Oryzias latipes: one gene and its partners. The protein of the gene in region 4 interacts with the protein of the main gene of each other region in a pairwise test. Links are inferred from orthologs where the notes say so. Each region holds a gene or a part of one and is shown on either strand. Other genes may lie near its edges. The genes, in order: cpne7, stk16, aqp1, thrombospondin type-1 domain-containing protein 4, natd1, ammecr1 and cfap206.

What was found.
Region 1: the proteins of thrombospondin type-1 domain-containing protein 4 (region 4) and cpne7 interact in binary tests that used the Homo sapiens proteins (3 or more experiments, as listed by UniProt). The two-hybrid records come from large-scale screens. The link is inferred for Oryzias latipes from reciprocal best matches to the Homo sapiens genes ADAMTSL4 and CPNE7.
Region 2: the proteins of thrombospondin type-1 domain-containing protein 4 (region 4) and stk16 interact in binary tests that used the Homo sapiens proteins (3 or more experiments, as listed by UniProt). The two-hybrid records come from large-scale screens. The link is inferred for Oryzias latipes from reciprocal best matches to the Homo sapiens genes ADAMTSL4 and STK16.
Region 3: the proteins of thrombospondin type-1 domain-containing protein 4 (region 4) and aqp1 interact in a two-hybrid assay, tested with the Homo sapiens proteins (2 studies listed by BioGRID and IntAct). The link is inferred for Oryzias latipes from reciprocal best matches to the Homo sapiens genes ADAMTSL4 and AQP1.
Region 5: the proteins of thrombospondin type-1 domain-containing protein 4 (region 4) and natd1 interact in binary tests that used the Homo sapiens proteins (3 or more experiments, as listed by UniProt). The two-hybrid records come from large-scale screens. The link is inferred for Oryzias latipes from reciprocal best matches to the Homo sapiens genes ADAMTSL4 and NATD1.
Region 6: the proteins of thrombospondin type-1 domain-containing protein 4 (region 4) and ammecr1 interact in binary tests that used the Homo sapiens proteins (3 or more experiments, as listed by UniProt). The two-hybrid records come from large-scale screens. The link is inferred for Oryzias latipes from reciprocal best matches to the Homo sapiens genes ADAMTSL4 and AMMECR1.
Region 7: the proteins of thrombospondin type-1 domain-containing protein 4 (region 4) and cfap206 interact in binary tests that used the Homo sapiens proteins (3 or more experiments, as listed by UniProt). The two-hybrid records come from large-scale screens. The link is inferred for Oryzias latipes from reciprocal best matches to the Homo sapiens genes ADAMTSL4 and CFAP206.

What each region holds. Positions count from the first base shown.
Region 1 is NC_019861.2:20,465,686-20,469,876, forward strand, and holds part of cpne7 (copine-7), read left to right. Parts: intron 1-364; coding exon 365-448; intron 449-524; coding exon 525-614; intron 615-739; coding exon 740-838; intron 839-1,201; coding exon 1,202-1,288; intron 1,289-1,725; coding exon 1,726-1,785; intron 1,786-2,241; coding exon 2,242-2,375; intron 2,376-4,191. UniProt on the Homo sapiens protein: Calcium-dependent phospholipid-binding protein that may play a role in calcium-mediated intracellular processes.
Region 2 is NC_019861.2:14,423,039-14,426,552, reverse strand, and holds the end of stk16 (serine/threonine-protein kinase 16), read right to left. Parts: intron 3,408-3,514; coding exon 3,279-3,407; intron 3,156-3,278; coding exon 3,034-3,155; intron 2,669-3,033; coding exon 2,530-2,668; 3' UTR 905-2,529; downstream 1-904. UniProt on the Homo sapiens protein: Membrane-associated protein kinase that phosphorylates on serine and threonine residues. In vitro substrates include DRG1, ENO1 and EIF4EBP1. Also autophosphorylates. May be involved in secretory vesicle trafficking or intracellular signaling.
Region 3 is NC_019875.2:28,339,384-28,343,646, forward strand, and holds aqp1 (aquaporin-1), read left to right. Parts: upstream 1-1,717; 5' UTR 1,718-1,779; coding exon 1,780-2,142; intron 2,143-2,509; coding exon 2,510-2,671; intron 2,672-2,805; coding exon 2,806-2,886; intron 2,887-3,066; coding exon 3,067-3,246; 3' UTR 3,247-3,642; downstream 3,643-4,263. UniProt on the Homo sapiens protein: Forms a water channel that facilitates the transport of water across cell membranes, playing a crucial role in water homeostasis in various tissues.
Region 4 is NC_019874.2:19,008,011-19,012,756, forward strand, and holds the start of thrombospondin type-1 domain-containing protein 4, read left to right. Parts: upstream 1-1,391; 5' UTR 1,392-1,681; coding exon 1,682-1,704; intron 1,705-2,966; coding exon 2,967-3,030; intron 3,031-4,746. UniProt on the Homo sapiens protein: Positive regulation of apoptosis. May facilitate FBN1 microfibril biogenesis.
Region 5 is NC_019866.2:14,551,827-14,556,479, forward strand, and holds the start of natd1 (protein NATD1), read left to right. Parts: upstream 1-1,372; 5' UTR 1,373-1,392; coding exon 1,393-1,573; intron 1,574-2,954; coding exon 2,955-3,073; intron 3,074-3,171; coding exon 3,172-3,288; 3' UTR 3,289-4,653.
Region 6 is NC_019872.2:19,529,828-19,534,780, reverse strand, and holds the start of ammecr1 (AMME syndrome candidate gene 1 protein), read left to right. Parts: upstream 1-1,733; 5' UTR 1,734-2,833; coding exon 2,834-3,312; intron 3,313-4,953.
Region 7 is NC_019865.2:27,270,299-27,274,489, reverse strand, and holds part of cfap206 (cilia- and flagella-associated protein 206), read left to right. Parts: intron 1-1,807; coding exon 1,808-2,006; intron 2,007-2,097; coding exon 2,098-2,238; intron 2,239-3,970; coding exon 3,971-4,164; intron 4,165-4,191. UniProt on the Homo sapiens protein: Essential for sperm motility and is involved in the regulation of the beating frequency of motile cilia on the epithelial cells of the respiratory tract. Required for the establishment of radial spokes in sperm flagella.

The DNA of each region.
Region 1 (4,191 bases), on a different chromosome or scaffold from region 4:
TGAGAAATAGACGTAAAAAAAAAAGGTGTTTGAAAAAGTTTGGTGCTGTGATGAAGAAGCTACAATCGGCAGGCTCCCCTCAATTCTGATGCATTCATTTGCAGACAAATAGATGTCTTTGTTTTCCTTGTCCGAGTTGGCATCTGGCTCAAAGCTGTACGGCTCCAATATTGCTCGCCATTTCTGTTGAGCCGCTAATGTTAGGTTGAGGGTGTGAGGGGCTGCAAGCTAGTGGGAGAGAGTGTAAACAGATTGATGACAGGAAGTGTAACCCTTAATAAAGGTTGCAACTAACAGGTTTTTTTAAGGGATGCAAATATGTAATAGACATTGCTTTGCTCATTTTTTCCCTTTGTTTCTGCAGGACCTCTTTAGCAAGTCAGACCCTTTTTTGGAAATATTTAAAATCAATGATGATGGAACCGAGCAGCTCGTCCACAGAACTGAGGTAAAGTCTTTGGATTTTCCTTTCAATAGCTTGATTAGCAGTAGGCCTTGCTAACAGTGTGGGGCTAATCCAACAGGTAATCAAAAACAACCTGAATCCAGTGTGGGAGCCATTCAAAGTCTCGCTCATGTCTCTGTGCAGCTGTAATGAGGACCGGAAGCTCAAGGTTTGCTTTTGCACTACTGTTTTTCCTTTTGTTTAGAGGGAACTATCACTATAGATTCTAGGACTCAAGTGAGATCCAATTAGCAATTCAGCGGGAGTAAGCAGTGTTTTCTGTGTGTGGCACAGTGCCTAGTGTGGGATTATGACTCCAGAGGGAAGCACGATTTCATCGGCGAGTTCTACGCCACTTTCAGGGAAATGCAGAAAATTTCCAGTGGAAATAAGGTCAGTAAATATTTAAAGGTGAGACAAAGTGGAGGCTAGGCATCAATATATCTGCTTCATCCATTTTCAATATATATGGCTTTTATTGAATTCTGTTCCCTTTTGGATTTTTCTGTTGGGTTTGACTGGGTCCTCTGGTGTCCTCACACAGTCCAAGAACATGAATGTCAGGTTAAGTGGTGATTTGAAATTGGCTGTAGAAGTGTCTCTGAATGTGTCTGTGGTTGTTTGTCTTGATAACGCCTCAGTGACCCTGTAACCCATTTCCCCACCTAATAAGGATTTAGGATAATCTGCTGATAGAATACATGGTCCAGAACACCTTTCTCTGCTGTTTCTGATTTCTGACTTTTTCCACTGAAGGTGACATGGGACTGTGTGAACCCCAAATACAAGCAGAAGAAGAGGAATTATAAAAATTCAGGGGTTGTCATCCTCAACGACCTCAAGGTAAAAATCTTCTCTGGTTACACATCAACTGCACAGAACATGAGTTGTAGTCAAAGTCGCATCAGTTGTCACACACCTGGGTGTATGAAATTTGTTCTCTGCATGTGAACCATCCCCTGGGGGGAGCAGTGAGGTGCAGTTACAGGAACCGTTTGGGGGTTTAACCCAGGAATCCAATCCTTTAGCACTGAGTGTCAAGCAGGGAAACATTGGCCCTCATTTTCAACAGTTTTTGGTGGATTTGAACTTGCAACATCCCATTTTTAGATTGTAGTTTACTCTGTGAAACTAAATTATATGGCTTTTAAATCAAACTTTATCTTTACAGAAGCAGGACCATAAAGATTTCTGGAAATAACTTGGTGACATTGACTTTAGGATTTATTTTAAATGAGATTTGGCCTGAATAAAATTGCATATTTTTGTTTTTCCTGCAGCTCCACAGAGTGTACTCCTTCTTAGATTACATCATGGGAGGATGCCAGATTCATTTTACGGTAAACTGAACAATTTATTATACATTCAAAGTTTTTTTTCTGATTATGTTGTCTCAAATCGAGGTGAGTTCAGTTGTCTTATGTCTAAGTGTAATTATTTTTATTGCATGTAGGACGCTTCATGGAACATGTAGAAATTTTATTCAGTATGCAACCTTTGGTCTGCTCTCTGTGGTGTTAACTTCCATTTTTACTGGATCACAGAAGCGCTGAATAATAATCATGAGGAAAGCTGCCACAGAGCATGTGAGCTCTAACTTTCAAACTGATGTGGGTGTAAAAGAATGCAAGTTTCTTTCTTCGATCATATGAATTACTTGACCATTAGACATTTTCAGCCTCCTCATAAGGTGATAAGAGCCCAAGTGAAAGTCTTTGCTGCAGACAAGGAGCAATAAGAAGAATTGATTTTGTTGTATTGTTCACAGTTTCCTTTTTTCATTTTCTTCCTACCAGGTTGCTATTGACTTCACAGCCTCCAACGGAGACCCAAGGAACAGCTGCTCATTGCACTACATCAACCCCTACCAGCCTAACGAGTACCTGAAGGCGCTGATAGCCGTTGGTGAGATCTGTCAAGACTATGACAGGTGTGTCAATCTTCTGTTTCTCAGAAAAGGCTCTGTGGAGCCTGCGGGAACTGTGAGTGTCTCTTTTGATGCAGAGTACAGTTACAGAGTGCTCCACGTTTGCCATTTCGCTGGACTCTCTTCTCACTGAAATGAGCCACTCCATCCATACCACAGCAAAAGGACCATAATGGGAAATGTGGAGTGCAAATACAGACTCCTGCAGCATATTGCATTTCGGCTTGCCAGGTTGTTATGAAGCTAATGGAAGTGGGATACAGACCACTTTTCCCTCACATTTAGTTTTTCACAGAAATGTATTTAGCACCTGACATACTCTGTAATGTTTTAGGAGAAGGCATCACTTACAGCTCAAATGAGATGCGGCTCAGTAAAATGTGAAAATGCTGTCACAGATGATGAAAGCGTGCCATGTTTAGTGTCTGCTTGCATTATTGAAATCTGTTGCCGACATTATTCATTTCTAACCTGATCCCGGAAGTGATACATGCTTTATTTTAGAGAGAATAATGTGCAAAAGAACTCGTTAAGAGAAAGAAGGACTGAGTTGCAGTCTAAATTCACAAAAACAAGTCAGCGTTTGAGCCAAACAGAGCAAGTTGAGATGTTTTCACATGAAAAAGTGGTGTATTCTTCATGCCTTTGTCACTACATTCACCTATGAGTTGAATAACAACTTTTTCCAAGCACATGACTTGAGATATCCATTGTAGCTTCAGGTTCAAAGGAGGTCCTTTTTGTTTCCTTTTGAAATTTTGAATTTTTTGTCCTGCAAAGCACAAAGCTGTGCCTAATTGGCATGTCAGTTGTGGTGCACTGTTTTGATTGGATGTCATAGTAACAGTGGTGATTCGGAGCATCTTTTGCACAGACTTGTTCTTTTGATTCTTCAAAGGCTCATTACAAAGAATTTGAGGCAAACTCGTGCAGAGATGGGGTCTCCACCAAGATGGCAGACACTTCCAAATAAAGTGGAGAGCATAATGGCTTTGGAAGAAACAGCAGGGGGTAGAATTTGCTGCATGAGGCAACACAGAACATTTCTTTCATGGGGAAATTCTTGTCACTGTGAGTGAACGTGCTGGTAAAGGCTATGAATTTTGTGGAAAATATCACTTAATTATAGGAAAATTTGAGCTTGGCGCACTTCAGAGAAAGATGCTCTCATCTGTTGAAATTAAGCCAGATGAGGATTAACACTCTGACTCCTGATTTATGCAGATTCTTCTATTGAATGTCAGGGGAGCGCTGTATAGCTAATTATAGCATTCAGGGCATTCTGTAGCTCCAAAGACACACAAAAAAATTAGCGCCTCATCCTTACAGCTTAGGCCTTTTATTTTCTCATTGAGTCATGAAAGGGGAACATATGTAAAGCCAGCAAAGTTAGGACATTCATACTATTGTTTTTTGTATTTGACCAAAACTGAACAGAAGCTGTGTAAAAAAAAAAAAAAAAAGTGCACATCTAACAAACTTTAGTCACATAATCTTAAGGAATTTTTTCTCACTCCGATTATCATTTGATCTATTGTAAAAGTGTTCCCAGTGATTTTTTTATTGTGATTATGCCGTTTTAGGATCATTTTCTAGGACATAGTTTCTGCAGAGTGGCAGTAGTTCATTTGAAATTCACTTCAGAGTTGTTAACACGGAGTAAGCCCCCCAAATTCCCATGATCCATCTTTTTGCGGTTACCTTCACACTAGCTTACAGCCCCTCACAACCCCAACCTAACATTACTAGTGCAACAAAAATGGTGACCAATATTGGAGCTATGCAGCTGTACAGTTTTGAGCCAGATGCCAGCTCAGAC
Region 2 (3,514 bases), on a different chromosome or scaffold from region 4:
CTTGACAATTGTGCGACATATTAGTCAATTATGAATTTTGTTAAGTCAGTGATTGCTTTAGATTCTCTCAGATGCTGTAGATCACATATGTCAAACTAAAGGCCCGGGGGCCAAACGTGGCCCTCCATGTCATTTTATGTGGCCCCCGAGAGCATGAAAATTTTTGATTTCTTAAAATGAAAAATAAAAATTGGTGTGTATTTATATATATATATATAGGGGGAATCTGCCTTGAAATATCAGATTGGGCAACTATACATTAGGACTTAAACACTGTCCATATAATCTAACCTGACAGAATCAAATTTAAAAGGATTTATGATAGAGTAACAAGCAAACATATGTTTTCTATGCAACTGTAATTGTCACTTTCAAAAGTTATAATAAATAAATAAATTAGTTGTTTAACATTAAGGAGTAGTTACATGTATGTTTCATTACATTTAGTTACATGTATAAGTTATATCCGGCCCTTTGAGGACAGCTGCTATACTGATGTGGCCCTCGGTGGAAATGAGTTTGGCACCCCTGCTGTAGATCGAAGAGAATCCACAACAATCAGCTGCAACAATAAAAAAAGAAGCAGGTAATTCAGCTAACATAGTGTTATAAGGATGTGTGAGAGCAAACAGCTGAAATGTTAAGGTCAAGGTTTTTGTGTGGAACTGCTTTCATTTTAATCCCAGAGGCCTTTACAGCAACAGCACTGACTTGTGGCAGCTGGATACTACTGCTTAGAAAATGCAGGTGAATCTACGAGCCCTTCAAATCTTAAATACAATGATTTTTATCATTTGTACCGTAGTTAGTTTATATATTCAACAAACTGTTTAAAGCTTTAATTTGCTTTACTTAAAAGGTTTTAAAAGCACCATCATATTTAAATAACCACTCACACCAGGTGTGTAGATATTTTCTCTTTATTTGTGTTTTAAAATATGAATAAAGGACTTTTCATCATCATCAAAAGCACACAATAATATCTGGTACCTTTACCAATACGAATAGAACTTTTTGTCTTTCGGATGCAGCATTAAACCTTTTTCAATTTGCGGTTCACAACAACACAACAGTTCATTATACTGGCTAAATCCAAACTTTGCAATAACACATAGTATCCTCAAACATTGTATAGTACTCCCAAAATACAGTTCAAATATGATGTCTACAAGCTAACTGAGCAGAATATTTTAAAGGTGGTCAAACAGTCCTAAATTACTGCACTACAGTCACAAAAAAAGCATTCAATTTAAATGCCCAAAAGGTTTTTACTGTCAAGACATTTTAAAGGTAGAGTTTAGGTTCAGAAACGAAAGCCAGAGGATTATGGGAGAACCCTGAGAGAACACAAGTCTGATTATTACAAAGAAAACAAGAATAAAACACAGGAATCAGTGGAATGGAAAAGACTGTTTAAAAACACAATACAAAGTGAAGTGACAGAAAAATATATTCCCTCAATTATTTCCAACTTAAAATAAACAGATGTTACAGTTTGTAACAATTGTGATCGAAGGACAGCCTTGTTTTTTTTTAAATAAAAGAATAAACATGGTGCTCCTCTAGACAGAACATGAACAGTCACTGGAATGAACATAGAAGCTTCCTGAAATATAAAAGACAAAGTGAGCAGCATTTAACTCCTAAAATTAATCCCTAAAGGAGTAAACGAACAATTAGCTATTGTATTTTATAACTCATTTATGTTATGTACAATTACTAAAGCTCATTGACACAACCGTGTTGTAATGGTGGGCTAAATAAATAAAACTGAATTATTGAATTACATGAGCCCAGAAGTGAAAGTAATCCGAAATCCAAAGCAGAGCTTTAATGTGTACGTTTTCGTTTCATATCAAAATCTAAAAATACTACTTTAAACAAAAGTTTATACATTTTTAGAAGAATAGTTGTTAAAGCTGCTGCCACTAGAGGGTAGACGTCAACTTAGAAGAACTAATAAAAAGGATAATAGTGAGCCTTGCTCCATCTGGGGGACAAAAATAGTTGCAGTTTCTTGCATTCACTGAATTATTTCTTCACTTTTCTCCACGGAATTAACCGAAACGAAACAACCACATAAATATGCTTGGATTTGATTCTCTTGCTTTCAAACAAAGCTGGTCAAATCTGTCTCCACTGCAAATTTTAAAGTGAGGTGGATCCAAAACACATGGAGCCATCAGACACATGAGCAGCACCTCATTTAGGTCTCAGGAAGAACAAATACACAGATTTTTCAAAATAAAGGTTGCCAAAAAAAGAAGCATTTTTTTTCTGACATCACCAGAAATAATTGCACTGTGGAAAATATTTATAGATTTAAGGCATTTCACATTCTTCAAATAATTTAGTGAGTTAAAATAAAGGCTAAAAGAAAGCTTTGATCAGATAAAGTGGAGGATGAGGCTTTTGTTGCCAACCGTCCCATGGAAAACCAGCTTTTTAGATTTAATTCTTCAAACAAACAAAAAAAGAGAAGTTCACTGAGGCGTGTAAAGGTTTGGTCTCTGCATACAGTGGATCCGATCAGACCATGTTGGTTTCGGTGTTCGGACTGCGATTTTGCAGGTCTTGAACCTGGTCAAGCACCCAACTGATGTTCGGTCGCTCTTGGGGATTTGAGACCATTATGGAGCTGAGCAGCACCTGCAGACCTGATGAATACCTGTGAACAGGTCAAGAGAATATCAGCCAACACATCCTCCATTCACAATTTAGCTTATACTGAGGGGAAAAAACGTGACATGAATCACAAAAACCCAGCATGTTAGGGGATTCACTTTAGCTTGGGTGTACTCTGCTTAGTGACAGCAGCATTTAAATGCCACTGGTGACCATAAACCCTCATTTTATAGTCATCATAAGAAATTTCTTGCAAGTTTTTCTTCCAAAATAAATCCAAAGTCTGTTTATTTTTTTGATTTTTTTTTTAACAAGCACTAAAAACGTCAGCAAAATATTTTTTCTTTTCTTAAACTTCTGAAAGGAATAAAGGAGGTTAACAGATCGACAAAACCCTCCAATAATGACCTGCAAGATGGCGGGATGCTGACTGGATTCTGGACAGCCAGAGCAACGCTGTCGCCCTTCTGAAACACCAGATCATAAGGGCCCTCCAACATCATCATGCAGTACAGCACACAGCCGAGCGACTGAAGGAAAAGCAGAATCAAAGGAGAGGCCGGCTTCAGTCATTTTCTCCAGAGGTTTCAGAAAAAGCTGCTCCAGAAAAAGGCAGGTACGAGTCCTTGAGGACAGTGGACTTGCAACGTTACCCAGATATCAGTGCGCTCATCTATGATGCAGTGGCTCTCTACGTGGAAGAGCTCAGGAGCTCTGTAGGAAATGGTGCAGCGCTGGGCCGCCCAGTCCTGTAGGGTCATGGCCTCTCTGGATCCTTTCACCTGGGAAGGAAAAATGGGTCATTAAAAGTAAAGGTTCATTTAAAGATGTGAAGGTTTAGGAGGAAGTTAGTTTTTAAACAAATAGCTGACATTTAAAGCTGGTTTGC
Region 3 (4,263 bases), on a different chromosome or scaffold from region 4:
ATGATAAGATTACACAAAGATAATGAATTGTTAGTTAGTTCATTTACTTAGACGTATCTCATTAACTTACTGAAAAATAAGGCCTTATTGGAAAAAAATTACACATCTTTATGCATATGTTTTTCCAGAAATGAACAAACTTCATGACATTGTCCATACCTCAGTACCCAAAAATATCACTCCTCCGATTCCTCTTCAAATTATGCCACATCTTATGATCATCAGTTCCACTTTGCTTATGACTTATGAATTATTGAAAGAAATGATGAATTTCTCTCTCAGACATTAATCACTACAGTTCAACAGCATGAGTCACTATTCTGAAAGACATCTGGATGCAACTTGTTATCTCGCAGTTCTGTCACGGCAACCATGCATAGCGTAGCGCTGCGGCGTGTCGCACAAGTCAGAAGAGTTAATAATTAAAGGATAATAAGTTTGACAGAACACTTTCCATTGTCTGATTTTGATGCTGTATTGAAACTTTAAAAATTAACAGATTCAGATGACTTCATAAAACAAAATGACAAGAACTGAAAGTTTGGATGAAGATAAAAGTGTTTGGCAGCAAAAATTTAAGGAGTTGAATACGAAAGAACAATAATAAGGAATATTTACACTTGAAATTGTACAAAACCTACTTTTATTTTACAAATTTGTTTTATTTTGCTGCTAAATTTGACTGATTGATTCTTGGTATTTACTTTTCCTTTTTAGTTCTGAAATTGTACTTACTACATATACAAATACCTGTGTTTCTGCATTGTTACTTGTAAAAAAAAAAAGCAATAAATCTAAATCTATTCTAAATCTAATCTAAATATGATGGTTATCATATATGAAAACTAATGCAAAAGTCCAGTGACAGGGTCATTTCTAAGAATATGTCATTTGAAAAGGATTTTTTCTATCAGATAAGCAGTGAAAGGGCGGACTGCCTTTTGTTGGAGTCCCTCTTTAAGTGGGGGGGGGCTCCAGAACAGGCAGTGCCGTTCATGGAGTTGATCATTCACTTTCTTGCTCAACAATACAACTAGTAATTGTGCAAAAACGTCAATCAAGTTAATAAATCACAGTTGCTCTATTAGAAATGGAAAAGTTCTACTTATGCAATTCTGATTAAAATATCATTTAGGACCTTTAACTTCAGTTTCTTCATTCAGTTACTTTTTTGTGCCTAAAATATCTTAATTGTATTACTTCATGTTGCTCAAAATTGGAGTAGAAGCCAGGGGGAATGTGGAGCAAAGGGCTGTTTGGAGCTGTCTCCTGCCTTCCTGTATGTTGTCAGTGATCCACGCTCACATTCGTAAGGCGCAAAATTGCACAAAATTGTCATTTAAGGCAAATTTCAGCTAAAAAACGCTTCCCTCTGCTCCTGGAAAGTTCTGACTGGGAGCTCTCTCTCAGTGGGGAGTTTCATTTAGAAACGCCGGTACGAAAGGACATTTTATCTTTGGGTACAGCTATTTAAAGACTCTGTTTTGCTATTCACAAAAGTCCAAAGACCGGAGAGAGTGCTGCACAGGGAGGTGCTGGGAGAAAGCTGGAGGACGGAGAGGGGAGAAGGGAGGGTGAGGAAGCAGAGGGAGGGATGGGAGAGACCGGCCTTTTGGGTTTCTCATTAGTTCAGCGTGGTTCTCCCTTTCAGTTTTTTTTTTTTTTTCTTTAAACGCCCGCCCACCAACCATTATCAGCACCGGCCTTATATATGCAGCCTGATGCTGTTGTTTACGATTACACACACTTTGCAGCTCAAACCGTCACACAGCCACCACCATGAGGGAGTTCAAGAGCAAAGATTTTTGGAGGGCCGTTCTAGCCGAACTGGTCGGCATGGCCTTCTTTATTTTTCTCAGCATCTCTGCAGCCATTGGAAACTCCAACAACGCCAACCCAGACCAGGAGGTGAAGGTGTCGCTGACCTTTGGATTAGCCATCGCCACTCTGGCCCAGAGCTTAGGCCACATCAGTGGAGCCCACCTGAATCCCGCCGTCACCCTTGGCATGCTTGCCAGCTGCCAGATCAGCGTCTTCAAGGCAGTCATGTACATAGTGGCTCAGATGCTGGGTTCAGCCCTCGCCAGCGGCATCGTTTACGGGACGCGTCCTTCCAACACCAGCGCCCTAGGGCTCAACTCTGTGAGTAAAACTTTTTATATCCCCTTTTCTTGACAGCAGAATTTGTTTACCTAAATAGGATGCACGACAGCATGGAGAGGTCGCCATCCTTTAAACGCACACCTGTCCACGTTGCATTTTAAGGACAGTGCATTTAAATGCAACGTGGAGAGGTGTGCAGGTAAAGGACGGCCCCTATAGACAGAACCACCGTTTTTTGTTTGGCAAAAAAAATCTATTAAAAACTTGTAGCTTCAGTGATTTTATGACTCTACTACTGCAATAATATGATAGCATCAAGATGTCAGCATAAAGCCAGTGAAGGGAAACTTTCCATTCTTTCCATTCCAATGTCTGAATTTTGTCCCCCCCCCCTAAAAACCCACAGCTTAACGGTGTCACCCCCAGCCAAGGAGTGGGCATTGAGCTTCTGGCCACCTTCCAGCTGGTGCTGTGTGTCATTGCAGTCACTGATAAAAGGAGGCGTGACGTCATGGGCTCTGCACCCCTGGCCATTGGCCTCTCAGTTTGCCTGGGACATTTGGCAGCTGTAAGTTACACCATCCCCAAAAATGTTTGTTCAAGATTGACCCCAGTGGATTTTAGTGTGGTCCACCAGGTGAATAAACCGCCTTTCATTGCTCCAGAATGACTTCATGTCTTTTTTTTTTTTTGTGATCATAGATCAGCTACACAGGCTGTGGCATCAATCCCGCCCGCTCCTTTGGCCCAGCTTTGATCCTGAACGATTTTACGGACCACTGGGTAAGTTGGAGGGAGAATGAGCCCCAGCAGACCTCAGACAGCTGAATGTGGGCTATTTAGCAAACCCAAGTAACTCACTACACACATAAGTTAATCAGTGTTTGTGGCATTTCTGTGACACAGTAAGGACTTGAACGTTACAAAGTCAGTGCAAAAGCTGATATGAGTTATCTGTCCTAGGTGTACTGGGTGGGCCCGATGTGTGGTGGTGTAGCGGCGGCTCTGGTGTACGATTTCCTGCTGTCCCCCAAGTTTGATGACTTCCCTGATCGCATGAAGGTCCTAGTCAGCGGTCCAGTGGGAGACTACGATGTAAATGGAGGAAACGAGTCTGCGACTGTGGAGATGTCTTCAAAGTAGCTGCAGTTGTTTTTTCCCCCCACGTCCTTGTAAATGTCTATACTAAAAAAAAAATCAATATGTACAAATTTAAAATTCAAAAGCTTTGAAATTTAGTGCAGAGTTTTAACGTTGTTTTGAAAAAAACCAAGGAGGATTGTCGTCTACGGGTCAGCTAGAGAGGCTGTCTAAAGTCACTCCTTTTATCAACGCAGCACAAGCTCTTTATCAAACCGCTGCTGAAGTTTGAAACCCCGGGCGGGACGTTTGCTGATCCTTTTTCTCCATATCAGTATTGTATGTTGAAGCCTATTTTGTATATTACCTGTTTCACTTATTCTTATTCCTGATGGATATTATATTGTGTGCACTCTTTTGTCTAAAGTTTTTTACGTAAAATAAAACACAATGTGAGAATTTGTTGTTGTCGTTTCATTTATTATTCAAATTTTCTTTAATGTTTTTTGTAATACTATGAATTCATCCCAAACACAAAAACTGCATGACATAACATGCAAAAAGTTACCAACAACCTGATAGAGTTCCTAGAAACACACAACTCTCAGCTGTAAGTTTATGATCTGTCAGATTAGATTATGCACGAGTGATTATGAAAATAAAACACAGCCAAAGAAATGATCCGCCTTACTCACGACTGCCCTTACGGACGGATACGGGCCTGCACAAAATTTGAGTGAACCTGTAGAGTGAAATAAAAAATGTTAATGAACATTCTTTTAGAGAACACTTATGCAACACGTAAGGGTGAAATAGGTGGGAAGCAGGTGAACGCTAAGGACTGCACAGGGAACCTTGTTGGTGCAATAGATAAGTGCGTGCTCCTTGCTCCTTGTCTAATCAGGAAATTAGACAGATTGTAGTTCATGTGGACATCTTACAGGGGTCCCACGGGCACGTATTTATCACATGCACAGCTCATGCATGCAGCATTAGTGCACAGTCAGTAAGGAGCCGGAATTTTTTACCCCGCTGATGACTAGAGTGTGGTGTAAAGACATCGTACGACAGCATCACGCT
Region 4 (4,746 bases):
TAAGGGTTCTGTGGTTTAGTAATGATATTATGTTTTGGCCATGTTCTTGGTTGCCCTTTCTGAGTCAGACCAGTTTCAGCTTAATCACCATCCACAGTTGTCTTCATTTCAGTTAATTGCCCTCAGTCCATTTAAGTGCCTGGTTTTTAGGTAAACTGTTCTGCTTTTTCACCCTCTTTTGTTTCTCCATGTTTTTTGTGTGTGTTATGTTTCAGTGTATTTATTATATGTTATGGTTACTGCCACCACACCTGATCTCTCCTCCAATTTAGGTCCTACGCCACCAATTCCTGAGGGGCTGTAAGCTAGCAGCACAGCGGGTAAACAAAGGGATGATGGGAAAGGAGGGCAGGCTTACTCTGCACCAACAGTGCCGCCCACAACTCAGAGGTGAATTTCTGAATGATTCCTGCTGCTTTGCAGAAACTATGTCCTAGAAAATGACACGTGTTTTTTTTTTTAAATTCAGCCTAAAACGGCCTAATCATGATTAAAAGACTAAGGAGACTTCAATATAAAATTAAGCATTTTGGAGTAATTTCTTAAAACATGTCATCTTTCAAATATTACATTGATGCCAGTCCTGATTTGAGTGAACAGTATAAACTCCATAAAGGCTTGTGTGCATCCTGAGCCTTTTCCTTCAAACTGAGTTACGTTTTATTGGTTTAGAAATCACCAGCCCTTTCTTGTACACGTGCCGCTGGAGAAATCTTGTAAAGAACCTATAATTTTTTCCTGTGTGTGTGTGTGTGTGTGTCACCATGTCTCCTGAGGGTCATTTGACCTAAGTTACTCATTTTAGTAAAGTGTCTGGCTGGGCAGGGCTGTGTGGATTGTCATTTCATCATGTTTAAATGAGATGGCATCAGATGGTTTTTCACATCTGTTTCAGCCCTCACACACACACATATGTAATCATACACACTCAGAGAGGCACATTTCAGCCTCAGAAGTGGCTTGTCTCCTGGGTGCACTTATCCCAAACACCAAATTGCTGAAGCATGTTTGGTTTCTGGTGTTTCAATGGGATTAAACAGTGCACAGAATGCATGTTTTTCTCATGTAAAAATATCTGCTTGTTTTTCAAGAATGGGGGGGGGGGGGACTATGAATCATATTCAAACTGTAAACCACATCATTTGAGCTTGTCAGAGTGTCAGACTCATGAGATAGTCCCTTCCCAACTTTCTTGAAGAAGGCTCAGGATCGTCTGCGCTCATTATTATTCAGTGTGGGAGAAAACGCACAAGGAAACGTTATTTTTTCTTTCTCGATTGTGCAACTAAAACGAGGCTCTGAGGATTATTATTGCTTAGTCAGGACCAACAGTTTGTGAGTATGACAGAGAGAGAGGGTAGGAAGGCGTGAGGGAGAGGAGGGGGAGTGTATAATTTGTGCATGTGAGAGTGAGAAGGAGCCCGAGCGAGAGTTGTATAATCTGTCCATTTTGTGTCTCCCCTCTCCCTGCGTCTCTTTGTGCCCCCACCTGGTTTTCATGCGTCACGGGAGTTTATAATAAGGAAGGACCTGTGAAAAGTTGTGGACTGAACGGAACACACGGAACTCCTCCCGGTGACAGAGCAGGAGCAGTCCTCGCATGTCTTTCAGGCTGGAACGAAGCTCAGATTTGGACCCAAAGCATCACTGAGAGTGTCAGTGTGCAGGAGAATTTTGGAGCATGCAGCTCGGTTCACTGATCAGGTAAAAGTCGGTCCCGTCCAGCTGCTGACTGATTCTTGTCGCCGCATGTGGATTTGCATCTTTCCTTGAGTGTTTGTGCTGACTGTCTCTACGGTGGTTTTGTTGGTGCGGGAAACTTTTACGCGCGAGGCTCACTTGTTGCGCGCCGCTCGCTGCGTTAAATGGTTGGAATTTACCCAGAGGCGCGCATTTTTGAGTAAAAACTGTGTGTTTCCACTCAAATTGGACTTTTCTGAAAGTATTTGTCAGTTAAAGGTTTCTCTCACCCTCTCCCTGTCCTCTCAGTGAGTTTACTCTGCAGTAGCGGCCGTGGAAACGTGGAACCGCGTAGGGGGTCGTTATTTCGGCCTGAGCAGCTCTGTTGTGTCGGGCTGTCCGGGACTTTTCTCTGTGTTTTTCGGGGGTAATTGTGTATTGCAGCGTGGGGAAGCTTCCAGAGACCGCGGCGGTGCACCACATTGGGTAAAACGAACCAATTACACTGCCTACATGTGGCTTGCGGACTGGAGATTGCGGTGATGGTTTGGTTCTCTTGGTGAGCGCTGCAAACTTTATCCCAGCGAGCCCGGCTGTACTTGCACGGTCAGAGCAATTTCTTGGCAGACTGCAGGACGTTATTCCACTTGTTTCCACTGCACTTGTCTCAGAATGTTTGTGTATGGGTGAGATTTTTCTAAATAGATCCGACATTCGCACACAAACAAGTGAGCTTTTGACACTTCTACAGAAAAAGAAAAAACTTAATTTTCTCTTAGAGTTATCCCAATTCCTGACCTCCCTGCAGGAAAACCGTCCTACCCCAGATTGTTTTCGATGTTGGCTCATTAAGCCTGTGTGTGGTTATTGCATATTAGTGTTAAAACCACATCCTCCGGGTGTGTGCAGAGGGAAAACACGCAAGTGCTTGTAAGCACTTCCAAGAGTTTCCCAGATTGATTGAGACGTTTGAACCCCGAGGTCATCGTGAGATTTGTCATCACTTTTCCCGACAAACACCTTTCCATTCAGGTGAAACAGGTTATTTAGTGAATGGAACATTCCTATACCTCAGCTAAATAATGTAAATTGAAGGAAAATATTTGAGACAGATCACATAGGCTTAGAATAATGAGAGTCTTATGTGTGAACGTGAATGGCTTCTAGCTGCACTTTTAGGTCATGGAGTACTGATGTGCTTTAGAAAAAGAACCCCATTCAGCTGCTGTCATTTTTAATCCTGTGATTCTGCCACTTCTCTCCCCCTCTGTTCTGCATCCCTCCAGGCTCTGTGTGCTGTTGGCTTCTGTGGAGGTCACAACCTCCACAACCAAAGCTGCCAAGAGGAAGGTGAGTCATTAGATCATCCAGTTAGGTCAACACATGACTGAAAAGTCAGGTTGACACCCCCCCCTCTCCCTTTCTGTGTGTCCCAAAGCATGAGACCAGAACAGAGAAAGTTAGAAATAACCTTTTTCTTATCGTTATCCTCTCCTGGAGACCAAATACTGTCATGCTTTGATGAGCTATTTAACCCGGTGACAGTAAATGTTACTGATTGCTCAAACAGGGATTAAGGCAAAATCATGCAAAGGGGCGTGCACTGCTGGAGGGTGTGTTATTTAAGTCGAAGCAACAGATAAAGTGATTTTAAGGCTTATCTGGCACCAAAATGTCGCGCACACACCAGCAGAAACTCTTTTACCTTAAAATATGCTGTCATGAGACAATCACCAGGTTCTGTTTTGGTTGAGTGGCAGAGACAAGACTTTGCCAAATGATGTAATGCTACGTAAAAGTCTAGTTGACCTTTTTTTAATCGCTGTAATCATTCATTGCTGGATCTCATTGTAGAGACGCTTAAATCCTTTTAAAGGCAAGAGGGTTTGAGAAGCCTTTTTTGCTCAGGAAAACAAAATATAAATTATACCATCATAGTTAAAATAATTAAAATTTAATCTAAAGCCATATTATTTAATCCATCACTCAAAAACAGTAGTGAAAGCTTCTTTTCCAATGAAAAGTTATGTGTCTGCTCATGTTAAAAGTCACCTTTTTTTTTAATAAATTGTGATGCGTGTGTTTATGGCAAAGTTCAAAGGACCTCCAGATTTATGAATACAATAAGTATCTTGTAAAAAGTTTTAGGAGCAGACCAAAATAGCACCTCAGTGGTGCTGCAGAAGTTAAAGTGGTGGCTGCAGAGGTTAGCAGTGGTTGCTGCAGGGTCACTGCTCACAGCTCATTAATGCTCCCAGTTATGTGGCAGCTGCAGGTTAGATGCCACCTGAGACATGGACTTGGACTTAAAAACTCGAACTTCAGTATCGCCTGCAGAAACTTGAGGCAGAAACAGATAAGCAAGTGGACAAAGTTTATCTGTTTTTTTTCCTCTTTTTTTTTTTAGCTCCAGGACATCAATGTCAGAAAAAATAAATGAAAACTGTCTTTACACAGCGTTTGCACACCACTGGCTGTTATTGTGTCCCCACAAGTTGTTTAAAGTAGTTTAACAACAATTTGTGACAATAGAATATTATTTTAGAAGTTTTCGGACTATAGACTTGTCTTGGATTTGTATCCAAATGCTTCAAACTTGATTTAAAGGGCCTATAGCATGCTATTCTTAAGCTTTTTTGAGTAATCTACATTCATATATATGATAATAGATTACCTTTGGCACACTGAATAGCAAATTTTCTAATCAAATATTAATTCCTTTCCTGAGTTCTTTTCCAGCCCATAACTAGGACAACTTGATATCTGAGGCACCGGCTTTCGCTCATTTGGGTGTCGCACATTTCATGACGTCAACCTAGAGCTGGCCTCGGCAGCGTGTCTGCGTCTCGCCCACGAAAATAAACAACATCCAAACTTTTGCAAAGATGGATGTTCATATTGCACATATAAAATGAAGGGGCTTTTGCTGATCACCGCTAAGAAGGTGTGTGTTATCCTGTGGGCGGAGCTGGCAGTGCAGACTCTTCCTGGAAGGGGCGGTTCCTCACTGATCTACATCACAATGTGAGAACCCGCTTGTTTACATGGGTTGGGAGGGGTACAGGT
Region 5 (4,653 bases), on a different chromosome or scaffold from region 4:
ACAAAGGGAAGAAGTCTCACATCATTGCAGACGGCAAAACCTGAAGAAGCAGAGAGCTACCTTCACAAAACCCCACAAAGATTTGACAAACCTCATTAGAGTTTTGTTGGATTAGACCAACAGATTAAAAGGATTTGCACACAAAACATTAGTGAACTTGACGCACCGACTTAGAGTTCAATACGTGGAGATGTCTGTGTTTATGCAGGGACAGAAAAGGGATTTTACCCCGAAAAAGATCCCGAGAGTAGTGACGAAGAGAAGACATTGCAATCGTGGCTATGAAAGGTAATCTGGCCTAATTTGAGCTATTGTAATCCATTTCTTTGTGCTTAAATAAAGATAATCTAAAGCCATGTTCATAAAACCCTTATTTCAAGATTGTTTTTAAATGATGCAAACATGATACAACAGCCTAAACAAAACAAATTGTATAATTTTTTTTAATTAAAATATATACTAAAACAAACGGAAATAAAGGAAAGTCTTGAAAAATATACATAAATACAAAATGTTGTAAAAATGCCATGATAACATTTCTCAAAATTTATAAAAGAAAAGGAAAAAGGGATGTTCTTCACTATCATTTTGAAAAACATTACAAGAAACTTTTGAATTCTGGTTAGATAATTTAATTGCATTCCTTTTACATTAAAAAAATATTACTGTGATTTATTCAATGTAAAAATAACCCTATATGTCCTTTTATTGAATTTCAAGTTATTATATTAATGTTGTGAAACTGATATTAAACAATTTTACGTAACCTTGTGACACGTAAACAAACTACACAAGAACAACTAACAATACAAAAACTGCAAAAACATTATTTTTAAATCCAATTAATATGATTTCATTGCATCATAATCATTTAAAAAAATTAAATAATTAGTCATTAATGAAACATTTTTTCAGCTTACAATATTTGAATTGGCCAGACCAAATTTTACAGAGAGGAAAAAGAATTAAACCTGCGAAACAAATAATAAAGTAGAATATTACTCACAGAAATAGAAAAAGAAACCTAGATAAAGTGGACGTCGGGATATCACATCCTCCAATTAAAACAATAAAGGTGACACATATACAAACTTTTGCATTAATTTCACTTTAAAAATCGTCGATTTTTATGTTGTTTGTCAGAAGTAGAAGATTGTGTTATTTTACGAAAAAAAATGGTTTAAGAAAAATAGATTTCGTATTTTTATTTATATGTTTCTATTTATTATAAGTATTTTTAACTATATAGATTTGTGTAGTTTTTATTGTGATTTTTAACTACTGTAATTCTTTAACCAGAAAACATTTATTTTCGTACCTTAATTTCTCATCTCTGACGTACATCGAGCTGATTGGCTAGTCCCCACGTGACCTCACAGCTGATTGTGTTGGATGAAGTGTTTTGCTTCAGTACGTTCATCGTCGTCTCATGTAGCCATTTCTGGTTATCAGCACCGTAGAGTAGCTGTAATACCCCCAATAATGGCTCAAGCGCATGCCTTTGACACCAGCGGCTCTCAAATCCAGGTGGAGCACGATAAAAAGCGCCGGCAGTTTGTCATTAGGCTCAATGGTAAGTTCCGAATGTAAACATTAGCACGCTCGCGCTAGCGCGAGGTTGGCTTGAAGGTTAGCTTTGTCTGCTTGCTAACATTTTTACCTTGTGGGGAACTCCAGCTGCCATTTCTGCCACAGCTGCGCTGCGTTGTTCGGCACCACATAGTCGCTGTTACTCCTTTTATTTTTCTATCAGAAATGTAGTTCATAAACCATGAATGTCTAGGCGGTTTTTCCCTCTCTTTGAGGGGAAAAAAACTTTAGTCGCTTCATTCAACAGATGCTTACTTTTTGCTCCAATCTTAAAAGAAAAGCTGTTTCTTTTCCCACCTATTACATTTCTAAGTGTTTTAGCAATATTACTTTGCTGGTTTATATGCATGGTGGGCTGTAATTTAAAATAATTTATGTTTTTACCATTTACAAATACTGCCTTAAATATTTGCTTTTTTTTCAACTTTAATATGTTTTTTTTTTAATTTATTCAGTTTTTATAGCAAACTCAATTACATAAAGATCTCATCAGTTTCTCCAAGTCAATTGTGAAAAGTGTATTTATATATTGAATGCCTTATTTCACTGAACAGTAATACATTCTATTTTTTTCACATCTTTATTGACTAAAGTTTTAATTTATCGTAAACTTTCAAACTACATCTTTGTACTTGATGTGTGAGACACTATAACGTGTAGGACCTTTAAAGTCCCACTCTAAGCAACTCTTGATCTATGTCCAAAGCATTCCCCGTGCTTTTTTTAACCATGACTGTGCCACTTTAAGCAAAAAAATAATAGTAAATAAAATTAAAAAAAAAAATCAGTATTGGGTTTTTTTTGGGGGGGGGACATATTTTCTGCAGAACGACAGTAGTTCATTAGCATTTTGCCTCCGAGTTGTGGGCGGAACTGTTGGTGCGAGTAAGTACAACGCTCTCCCAGTAGCCTACAGCCCCGGCCTAACATTTGCGGTGCAACAAAAATGGCAAGAAAATGAGGAACTATCCAGCTGTAAAGTTTAGAGCTAGATGCCAGTTCAGACAAGAGAGATGCAGACATCAACGGATTTAGTCATATACAAGTGGATGCATCAGAATGGAGCCGAACAGGGAGCTTGTCGCTTGCCGTAGTAGCTTTTACGTCACACCCACAAGCTTTTTCAAACTGGATTTGCTCCTGATTCCTAACAATTTGAATAAAGAAATAGTCAGAAATGCAACATGTTAAAAACACACGGAGTGTGTCTTTAAAAGGGTCTTTATGACTAGTGTAATGTTGTTCTACCGGCTTTTTGTGTTATGTGTGTCTCTTCGCTTTATAAGGTCAAAGGGTCAAATTTTTCTGGGTGGACCAGAACTTAGCAAACACAAGAAAGGCTCAGCTTTTGTCTCATTCCTCAGGATCCCATGATCGTGCAGTTCTTCTGTACGAGTATGTCGGGAAGAAAACGGTGGATTTGCAGCACACAGAAGTTCCAGATGCATACCGAGGGAGAGGCATTGCCAAACATCTAGCCAAGGTAGAATAGATGAATGAATTCTTGAGTCATTCTGAACGACAAAGTCCTTTTTGGTTGATAATTTGGCAGTTCACTAACTGTGCTTTGTGTAACGGCAGGCAGCCATGGATTTTGTAGTGGAAGAGGACCTGAAGGCTCACCTGACCTGCTGGTACATTCAGAAGTATGTCAAAGAAAACCCTCAGCCTCAGTACTTTGAACACATCTATCAATGACCCAACACAGCCCTGAAGAAGGGATCGAGACAGAGACTCGTGGGAGGGAGAAATACTGTGACGGCATGCCTTGCAGCCGCTGGACAAAATTCCACACACCGCCTCCCAAGTGTTGTTGAACATGTCATTGAGGGAATCCAGAGACAAAACCATCTCTATGATCTCACGCTGCCGTGAGGGTTGACCGTCCTGTCAAAGGGCCATTGACATCCATCACAAAGGGAGGGGGACTGGAGTAAAGGAGAAGCTCCGTTCGGTCTTGTTGTTGCGGAGCGACTGAAGGGTGGTGCCTGAATCTTCCAGAGTTTACCCTCAAAGCTGACTTGAAACAAGTGCAGATTTAAATCAGATCTGATAGGACTTGTTTTTTTTTTATGTCTTTCCTTGGAAATACATGCATTTCTTATCCTTGTTTGATATGGGTATAATGGCAACAATGGGTGCTCCACTTAAATTTAGATTTTGTAGACTTTCAAATTTGCCCCCTGTGTGTTATATCTCATTTTTGCCTCCTGATGTAAGTTTTGTTTTTTTTGTGCTAAAGTCTTCAAATTAATCATGAAACTGCAGCCATTTAATTTTTTTTTTCTTTTGTCATCTTTCACCTACATTTGGCGAGTCACATTTTATTAATAAATACAATTTTAAAGTGGAAGAAAATGTTCAAAGCCTAATTTGGTAATTATTTTCCACTGTAAAAGACACATATGGTGTTTTATTGGAGTTTTAAATTAATGATTTCATTGACAAAGGTGCAGGGATTTGTAAACTATTGATGTCCTGTCAATTTCTCTGTTTATTGCTCATCCTGGCATTTCAACGTTTGCCGTCTCTAACCAAAAACACACTCTTGAACTGAGGGCATTTCCATTATGTGCTGTGATGATTATTACTTTTTCCTTCCAGTGACATTTCATTTGCAATCTGCAACCGAACTGGTGGTTCATATGCCACTGACATTAAAATGAGTTCAACATTTGACAAATAGGATTATTGAGGTGAAAGTATTTTTTTTCTTGTAGATATTTTGCTGTTAACAATCTTGTATGTTTAGTTAAAAAAAAAAGTCAAAAACCTCAGGCCACTCAACACGCCTTGGCATGCAAGATTAAACTGTCTGCTGTGATGGCCAGCCGCAATAAGAAGTCCCTTTGGAAACATTTTGAGCAAGCGCCTAATGCCCAAGACACTGTCAGGTTTTTTTTTTTTCAAGTGGAGTTTTTGTGCTTATTTTATTGCTTCATTCAAAGCAAACCATGCCTGGTGGGAATTTTCAAGCAGGTTATTTTGGATTTGTTAAATATTCACATTCTTGTTACACAGTTTTATACTTGATAGCTTTTCTCTGTACCTATTTTAAATACA
Region 6 (4,953 bases), on a different chromosome or scaffold from region 4:
CCAAGACTTCGGAGCACAGATAGAAAAGGATCTTTCCTGTCTTTCCTCCCTGCATTTCCTTTTAGACCTCGGTGCCTGCAGGAGAAGCTGAGCAGCTGACCTGAGACACCGGTTGGACTGGACTGGAGGGATAGAGAAGCTCAGCGGGATAAGGCGGAGCGAGATCACTCAAAGATTAAAAAAAAAAAAGAGGATCTTAAAGTGAGCTATAAAATGAACAGGCAGCCAGTGAAGGGAAGCCAGAATTAGTGTGATGTGGTCCCTCTTGTGTTTTGAACAAGCTGCAGACGTGAGAGGGACGACTAGTTGACCCCGAAACAAAGTGAGTTACAGTAATCAAGCATGATGTGATGAAGGCATGGATTACTGTCTCAAAATACTGTTGGGATAACAATGGTTTCACCTTTCACCTTAGTTAACCGCCTCAGCTGGGAGAAGCTGAGGCCTCTGAGTTACTGAGAGTTCTCTGTTTACACGCTGTCCCACTAGCTTACAGCTTCTCACAAACCCCAACCTAACAACATTAATGACGAGAAATATTGGAGTCGTACAGTTTTTGAGGCAGATGCCAGCTCGGATGATGAAAACAAAGATGTACATGGGTGTAGTCGTCTAAGTTGAGGCATCAAGCTACATTCCCATTTTCCTCGGCAACACGTGTTCAACTGACAGCTTCCAATAAAGAGTTAATATAAATGCGCGTCTTGAGTTTCTGTGTTCAAAACTCTCACGTTCACCTGAAGCAGGAATCTACAACCGTTTTTGGGCTCTACATACAAAACATGGATCCATTGAATGAGTGTTGCAAGTTAAACCAAGTTGAACTTTGACCAGTCAGCAGTGGTAGTGGTGATTGAATGGAATCCCATTTCATTTTATGGAAGTGACAACTGTTTAAACTTTGATTGTAGAGAAGAAATGAATAATTTCTTCTTTACCAAAATGTGACATTAAGTCTTTGATATATTGGAACAGTGAGAGAAATAGCCTGGAGCAAGATTCATTAGATTTGCAAGCGCTTCCATAGGGACAGTCCAGTGTGAACACCGTGGGCCAGACGTGTCACATTCCCGCTGAAAACAGCATTGGAATGGAGCGGAGCAGGGACCTTGTGGCCCACCCAGTGTATTTTCTGTCACAAATACAATCATTTTCAAGCTGGATTTTTCTTTTCACCTGCTATTGAATCCAAATGATTTGAACAAAGAAATACTCAGAAATGCTCATTCTAAAGCTTAATTTTCTTTATATTTGTCCTCCATCACCAGAAAAGTGTCACGAGAACATGTTAAAAAGACCAAAAACACATTTTTTTATTGGAGTGGGTCTAATGTACACTGTGTTAGCTCTGCACCCTAGATGGTGGAGGTATTTGATCCTACAAAGCATCAACCGCAGAATAATTTCCAAGATATTTATGTCCAGCCCCAGCATGATTCCAGATGAGATGTGGTCATGAGGCCATAGCTCTGCACATTCCCTGAGACCGGCACAGATTTTTTTGGCCTCTAAGCAGAAAGTCCTTTCTGATGATCTCGTGGAAGTCTGCGCGTAATCGAAGCTCTAAATCACAGAGCGGTGCAATGCTCTGAGAGGCGCATTTCACAGTCAGTGAAACCCCTACCGGCTCCTCTCCCCACTTCACGAAGTGCGGGACCCATTACTTTTTCCATGCACGCAGCGTACGCACGAGGACGTCACGGGCGCGCATCCTTCCACTGCACCGTAGATTTCTCCACAATTGCAAACTTGATACCCCTGAAAGCAACGCATAATGTGTAGCAGCTGAGCGCAGAGCCGTTTCAGAATCCGGCTCCGGCGTGCACACGACACCGATGCCCACAGCCTGATCGCAGGGCTTTTCTTTTTTTTCCCCCCAAACCCGGACAGCACAGAACTGTAGCAGCTGACAGACGGATGCGGAAGGAGTGGTTCCAAACCCAGCGGATTTCTGCCGGTTCGGGGACTAGAATGCTCCTCTGTGTGCATCCCCACCGACGGATGACAGCCTCCAACCAGACCTGCCCCGAAAACTTTCAGCTCTGCGTTTGAGGAGAGGGGAGGGATGTGATTGAGATCTGCTTTTTGGTTATTATTTGAAACGCAACAGTCACGATGCAGGTGCAGATTGTGGGCTAACGGCACAGAGATGACGCGCTGCATGGTGCCATACCAACTCCGCATAGATAGTCAGATGCCATTTCCCGTGCGTTTGCCTCAGCGTCTGGAACCGGAACTCTGGCGTTCTGGGCCTGTTGTATAATTAGAAGTTGGCGAGGCAGTTGCTAGAATGGCGCAATGAGAAGCGACGCCGTCTGAGACACTGCGCGCAATCTGTGAAGCTTATGGGTCCTGCGCACTCGAGCTCTCAGCTCCCGGCTTCCACTTGGAGAGGCGCGCTGCGGCGGGGCTACGGCGCACCGGCTGTTGGCTTCACATCTGGACCGCGCGGGTGCTGTCATCTGCGGCCTGTTTGGACCGTGTTTTCCCTGAACTCGTGTGCTTTCAAGGCCGCGGACTAGGGGTCGTTTTGGATAAGGGGGTACAGATTTAGGCTCGGCCTTGCTGTTGTGGCGGCGGCTCAGAGCCTGACCGGCTCCTCCTGCTATGGGCTTTTGTGTAGTGAAATCACGTCTGTTTTTAAAGACAACGCTCCAGTGACACTGCAGTTTCCCATCACAGCAGCCATCGTCTGAATAAACAAATAAACACATAAATAAACCGGTGAAAGTGGAGTTTTGTCCGTCGAACGTAATCAACGCAGTGGGATTTCTACGTCTGCTCGGCGTTCCCCCCCACCCCACCCCACCCCACCCTTCCCGCGGTGACGGTTATGGGTCGGAAGCGGTGTGTCGGTGCAGATTGTTCCAAGATGGCGGCCGGGTGCTGCGGGGTGAAGAAGCAGAAACTGTCGGGATCTCCCGGGTCGGGGGGTCCCGCCGGGGTGGGGGCGGGAAGCGGGGTGGCAGGAAGCGGACATTGCGGTTCGGAGTTGGGGATTGGCTCCTCCGCGACTGTTGCATCTACGGCGAACTTGAGCCGAGTCAACGGCCTGGGGGGAACCGTTAGCGGCGGCGGCGGCAGTAGTGGCTGTGGCAGCAGCGGCGGTGGCACGAACGCGCTGTCTCCAGCCCCGGCCGGTTACAATACATCCGGCCTCTCCCCGAATCTCAGCCCGGGACCAGGTTCAGGAAGTGGCGGCAGAAAAATGGTGGTCTCGGCGGAGATGTGCTGCTTCTGTTTTGACGTGCTTTATTGCCATCTGTACGGATACCAACCTCCGAGAACACCCAGGTTTACAAATGATCCCTAGTGAGTATTTGTTCTGTCTTTTGTCATTTAGCTGCATGCCAAAGCTAACTCTAGTTTTATTTGTACATGTTCTAATTGGGTTCTGGTTCTTCTAAAGTCTCGGAAGCACAAACTGTCACATCCAAACTATATTTAACTTTCGTGAATTTAACTTAAAAAGCTCCCTAAATGGGCTAAGTTAGAAACCGGGCCTAGTCGAAGTAATGGCTCAGGCCTACAACTAAACAAGCGCTCCACGTTATTTAACAATGCAAACACATTTGCAAAATGTGTTACAGACTTACGCGTAGTATTATTTTTGAAATTATTGTCAGAATTTGTCAAAGAAGTTGACTTTATTTTAATATTCCATTGAACAATTCTTGCTTTGCTTATTTAGCATAATGTTTAGCATCGGTTACCCACCATAAACTCTAAAGGAAAACCGAAAATAACATCAAACATTTCTTTTAATTTATCATTTACACGTAAACATAACACGATAAATATAAAAAAAAACAACCTAAAATTAATCTTAATAATTAAGCCGGGTGTTTTTTTTAATCGTGCAAAGCTATCCTCAGTGTTAGCTAAAAGCCGAACTAGCATTAAAGTAAAAGCTAATCCAGTTTGTAGTTTATTACACTTAGTAAGCAGGTTTCATCAAAGTCCTTCTGATGTATTTGTCAAAAAAAAAAAAAAGTAATTTAGACTTTCAGGGTTCATCTGGGTTCGGCAAGTTCGTCGTCGAAGTCAGAGGGGTACAATTTCAGCTGAGTCTAGCATTGGCCAACAAAGAAAAGGTGGTACTTGCTAAATAAATCCTTGGCAGTTCTAAGCTCTCCTAATGCAATTGGGTTTTTTAGCTAAGCGTGATTGGAACGTTGTTCAAACGGAGCATGCGGTGTTTGTGACGCCATCTGTGTAACATACATGACATCTTCTTAGTAACTTCTTAGTCATGTGGAGGCTTTTGTTCTCAACGGTTGTTCCGGCCTCTCTAGTAAAACATTTTGTCCCCAACTGGGTCTCCACGAGTCTTTTTTTTAACACTCAAGAAGCTCAAAGTTGAATATATCAGCTGCCAGATTGATTATAAAAGGAAAGTTTGATTCAAATAATGCTTTATTGATCATTTAAAACGTTTAAAAATATAGTAACAACATAATTATGGGTTCATGAATAAGAAAAGCACGAACTGTGGTCTTTTATCTTTAGGGCAGATTTTAAAGTAAAGTACAACAAGCTAAGTACTTCTTTATGGATATTGAAGTAGTAACAGAAATGTTATAAATTTTGGATAACTTCATGTCACAGTTAGGGTGCAGCACCCTACTGAAGAACCACATTAGTGTCAACTTCTGTGGGAAAACCACAGCACTCCAGACAACATTTTTGTCTAAGTAGTCGGGGCTGGATCGACTGGATCGACTCCACACGGTGAGAAGTGTTGAAAGCTCATGTGAAAACTGTGTCAGGTCTGAGACATTGGTAGTTGTGGTCTGCAGTGTCCTCGACACGTCCTTCACTGGGGGGCATTGTCAGATTGAATTATTGAAGCACTAAAACCAACTCGGGCATCCGTCACAGACACAGTCTTCTTTAGCATGAGTTCATAAAAAAAAAACAAGCTTCAGATTGTCAGAAGTCATTTTTTCCTCT
Region 7 (4,191 bases), on a different chromosome or scaffold from region 4:
TTGGTGATGGTGGAGGTGTGTGACCATCACCGGGATCATTCATGCACATTCATGCTTAACGCTACTGTTGAGTAACCCTTGTGCTATCCTAGGCATTTTAACATTGGGAGTTGGGTCATCTAGACCCACTAGACAGTGCACTGAACCTTTTTTCTTCAATGATTTGTGATCTTCACTGGTGTCCATGGATTACATGAAATCTTTCCACCTTTATCCACCTTTGTCCTGGTAGGGAAAACACGTCAATGTAAGGGTGGGGTCATCTAAGATAGAACAAGGGTTTTAAGGGGTCTTGTCCAAAGGTGATGTTAATAGCTCAACATTGATGGTAATTCCCCCAGTATGTGTGACAGTACCATTGTTCATGAATCAAACCATGCTTTCCTGCGTGGTAGTCTCTCACCTTACCCGCCAGTTGTGGGATATTTGCTGGTCTAGAAATAGAGCTACATGCAGAAAGCTTTGTTTGAGGAGCGGTAGATGAAAATGAAACTAGGAAGTCATGTACACACCGGGCATTTGATGCGCTTTCTTGAACCAAGAGGACCTGGCTGCAGATACTAATGTAAATGGTAAATGGCGTATACTTATATACGTATATACTTATATACGCATTGATGGTGGCTCCGCTGCCAAACACAGGCGCCCGCCTACCACCAGAGGCAAGGTGGGGTTCAGTGTCTTGCCCAAGGACACTTCGACTCATGGGCGTGCAAGGCAGGAATCGAACCTGCAATTTTACGATCATGGGTCGACCGCCCTACCGCTGCACCACGGCCGCCACCAGTACTGAAAGTCCTTGACCAGAGCCAGAAGTGTCTGCCATATTGCAAAAAAAGAAACAACGTTACGCAGCACTTACAGTTACGGTTTTTCACATTTTAGCCTTTAATAAATGTTTTTTAACAATTCTGAACACTTTTGGATTAGGGTTAGGGACAGGGTTAGGTATACAATTTCTGCCTCCTACCGATGATGTCAGGAGCCATTTTGTTTGCAGCATGGTCTACCCTCTTGAACATGCATTTAGTCCATGGTGTTCACATTGAGTGAGCAGGGAGGGGTTTTTACTTTTTCTTTTGCTAATGTTTACTAGCGCATGTCTGCCACCAACAACTGGAAGAGGCTTGGTGCGAAATTTTGAAGCGTTGCAAATCTGGTGACTCTTCCCCCACACTTTATCTTTCACAGCAACAACCACAATAATTAATTTCTCCTCCATAATCAATCTTTAAATGATTGGTATTACTGTGAACTAAAGGGGACGTCATCCATACGTCACAACCAAATCCGAGTCCCTGATTGGTCAAAGTTTGACCAATTGAGCGATTTTTTTTATTTTTTTTTATTTTTTTTTTACATAGAGCCTGAATATGAGTGAATGGAGAAGTTTGAACATGGAGGCAAATAGAGTTTTCTTTGGAAATGGCCGGTTGAACGCATGTCGCCGAGCTTATAAACGTAGCTTAAGAAAAACAAAAAGTAAAACTTTGGAATCCTTAGACTCCGCCCCTTTGATTCTTAACGAGACACATCATGTTGATGCAGATAGATAGATAACTTTAATTATCCCCAATGGTTAAAACAGCTCTCCAGTAAGAACAGATATAAGACATGACAGTAACAACATTTTTACACAGTAAAAAACAGCGTGCGAAAAAACACATCAAATAATTAGCTAAATAAATAAAATAAATGTGGTGCTGGCAGGACGATCAGAAGGACTCAAAGACGAAATCTTTGTCACCTAGAGAAACTTTTTGTCTTTGATAAAAAGCCTTTCTTTCACGTGCTCCACGTTCTTCAGTCTTCATTCAAGGCCCTGTCATCAACGTGGTCTCGCCTTCTGGATGAGGCAGAGCTCCTGAACTTCCTTCACAAGATCACAGTGAACCTCCATCCATTCGTGGCCTCACAGGCGGAGGTTTTCTCTGAAGCGGAACTGGACGGCCAGCAGGAGGCAGCAGAGGTGAAGAGCGATGAGCAGAGGCTGGCAGAGTCCTCCGGTATGTCTGACATGCTTCACATGCAGCTTAGAGTCTCAAGCTACAGCCTGACGTTTCTTAGATGATCCTGTTCTTCTTTCTTGCCTTCCAGGTGAGCAGATTGATCCAGCCCAAGCAGAGTCAAAGGAATGGCTCATGCCTGAAGCCGCCTCCAACTGCAGTGAACTGCCACTTCAATATAACGGTTTCTGTGGTTACACACTGGTGAACAGTGATGGCCTTCTGCTTCCAGGTACCCATGAAACACAGCTTTTCTGTTATTATCTTCCGTCAAAGTGCAGCAGGTGAATAAAAGAACCCTTACACCGGAACTCATGCAGGAGTTTTGAGTTTTATCAGGCAGCATAAAGGAGAGAACTAAAGACAACTTCATCACCTGAAAGCATCTCATGAAGCTGCAGGTTGCACTGATTTTACCGATCAGTTATTGGAGTGGTCATTTTGGTACCTTCAGGAAAGCCAAATGTGTCTCCCATAGGATTGTGTCTCATTATAATACAATTATGTGAACAGTAAGTAGTCTACATGACCCACTTTCTAAACATTTGTGTGAAACCTCCTCCAAACGTGGCCTGCAGGCACTCATGACACAACCGTATGAGAATTATGTCAGAGGGATGATCCAGAAACTGTTAGTTATCATGTCCCACAGCAGTCCTGCACTGCAACAACCACATTGTTTTTGCAATCCTTTTTTTTCTCTTACAGTACCCTCAAGGAAGACATTTTGCCTGTGCCACATACTCAAAAACTTACTCAACATTTCAACCTAGTACCCGGTAAAAATGAATTTTGGGGATTTTGAATGACCCCCTCAAAACAAAATGATGTCAACACATCTTATAGGGCTGAAAAGAAAAAACAATCAAAATCCACTAAATAGACCAAAAAATGCATGTTTGGATATCCAAAGAAAGGTTTAAAATTATTATGGGATGGCCACAGGACTTACGGCTTGGCGCCCATCTTGTGGGAAAGGGTCAAAGTTATCGATATTTAAATTTTTCCACAATATGGGAAAAGAAAACTTTCGTTCAAGCGATCTTCACAAAACTTCACGAACACGCCGCCAGGTTAAGTCTACACCCACAACCAACATTTGTTGACCTTTGACCTCGGAAACAGGCTGCCATCTTGAAAATTCAAAAAAGAAGAAAAGAAGAACCACCTTTCGTACCAGCTATAACATTAAACTCCTCCTAGGAATTCCGATCCATCCCCTCCTTACTCCTCAAGCATCATTGGGAAGCTACTTGGTAAAAGTCACTGCTTTAAAATGTGTCGATTTTAAACGGCCTTAGCGTGGTGTGCTTGCAAATGTGGTCTTCACCTGTTCTTCGCATATTTTAACAAAAAGTTGTGAACATTTTATACATGAATGCTGGATGAAGCTGAACAAAACAGTGACTATATGTGGGCTTGGTTAGCAACAAAAAACAAAAGTAAATCCAAAAATGTACTTCTGCCGATTCTTCTAAAATGTTCCTAGATGTGTTCGTCACCCCCAGGTGACCAAAAAAATAAAAAATAAAATGGTCGCCATGGAGATAAAACCAACAGAAAAGCTGCCATTTGTCATGTGCAGCTCTGATCAGGGTGGCAGGGGCAGAGGGGAAGAGTCAGGGCTTTCAGCCAATGAGGGCGCCTCAGGAGGGGGCCACGAGGGCCGGGGTTGATAGCGCCCCCGTACCATACAATGCAACTCGCTGATTTCATTTGAGTTTATATCTTCAATCAGCAATATGCTGTTAGCCTTCAAGGGATTGAAATTAATGAAAACTTCTGTAATTGTCTCTTTTTTTTCAAGTTTTCCTTTGTTTTTTAGCACAAATGTGTTGTGATAAGTAAAGATTTTTAATCTAAACCAACTTCTTATGCAGATGGTGTAAAAATGCAATAAGGAGTAGCTTCTGTTTAGTGGTCTGTATAGTTTGCAGGATTTAGAGATGCGCTCTCTCTTTTAGGAAATCCACACATTGGAGTCCTGAAGCATGAGGGAAAGCTCTACGCTTTCAGCTCCAAAGAAGCCGCCCTGAACTTTGCCTCCAGTCCAGATGCTTTTGCTGCAGAGGTGGTGGAAAAAGCCAAACGCTCTCCGGAGCTCGTTCACCTCCTCAACCTCCATCAGCAGCTCTCCTGGATCAGTCCATTCTCTGAGGTTGGCAGCTGCTCCAACAGCAGTTCC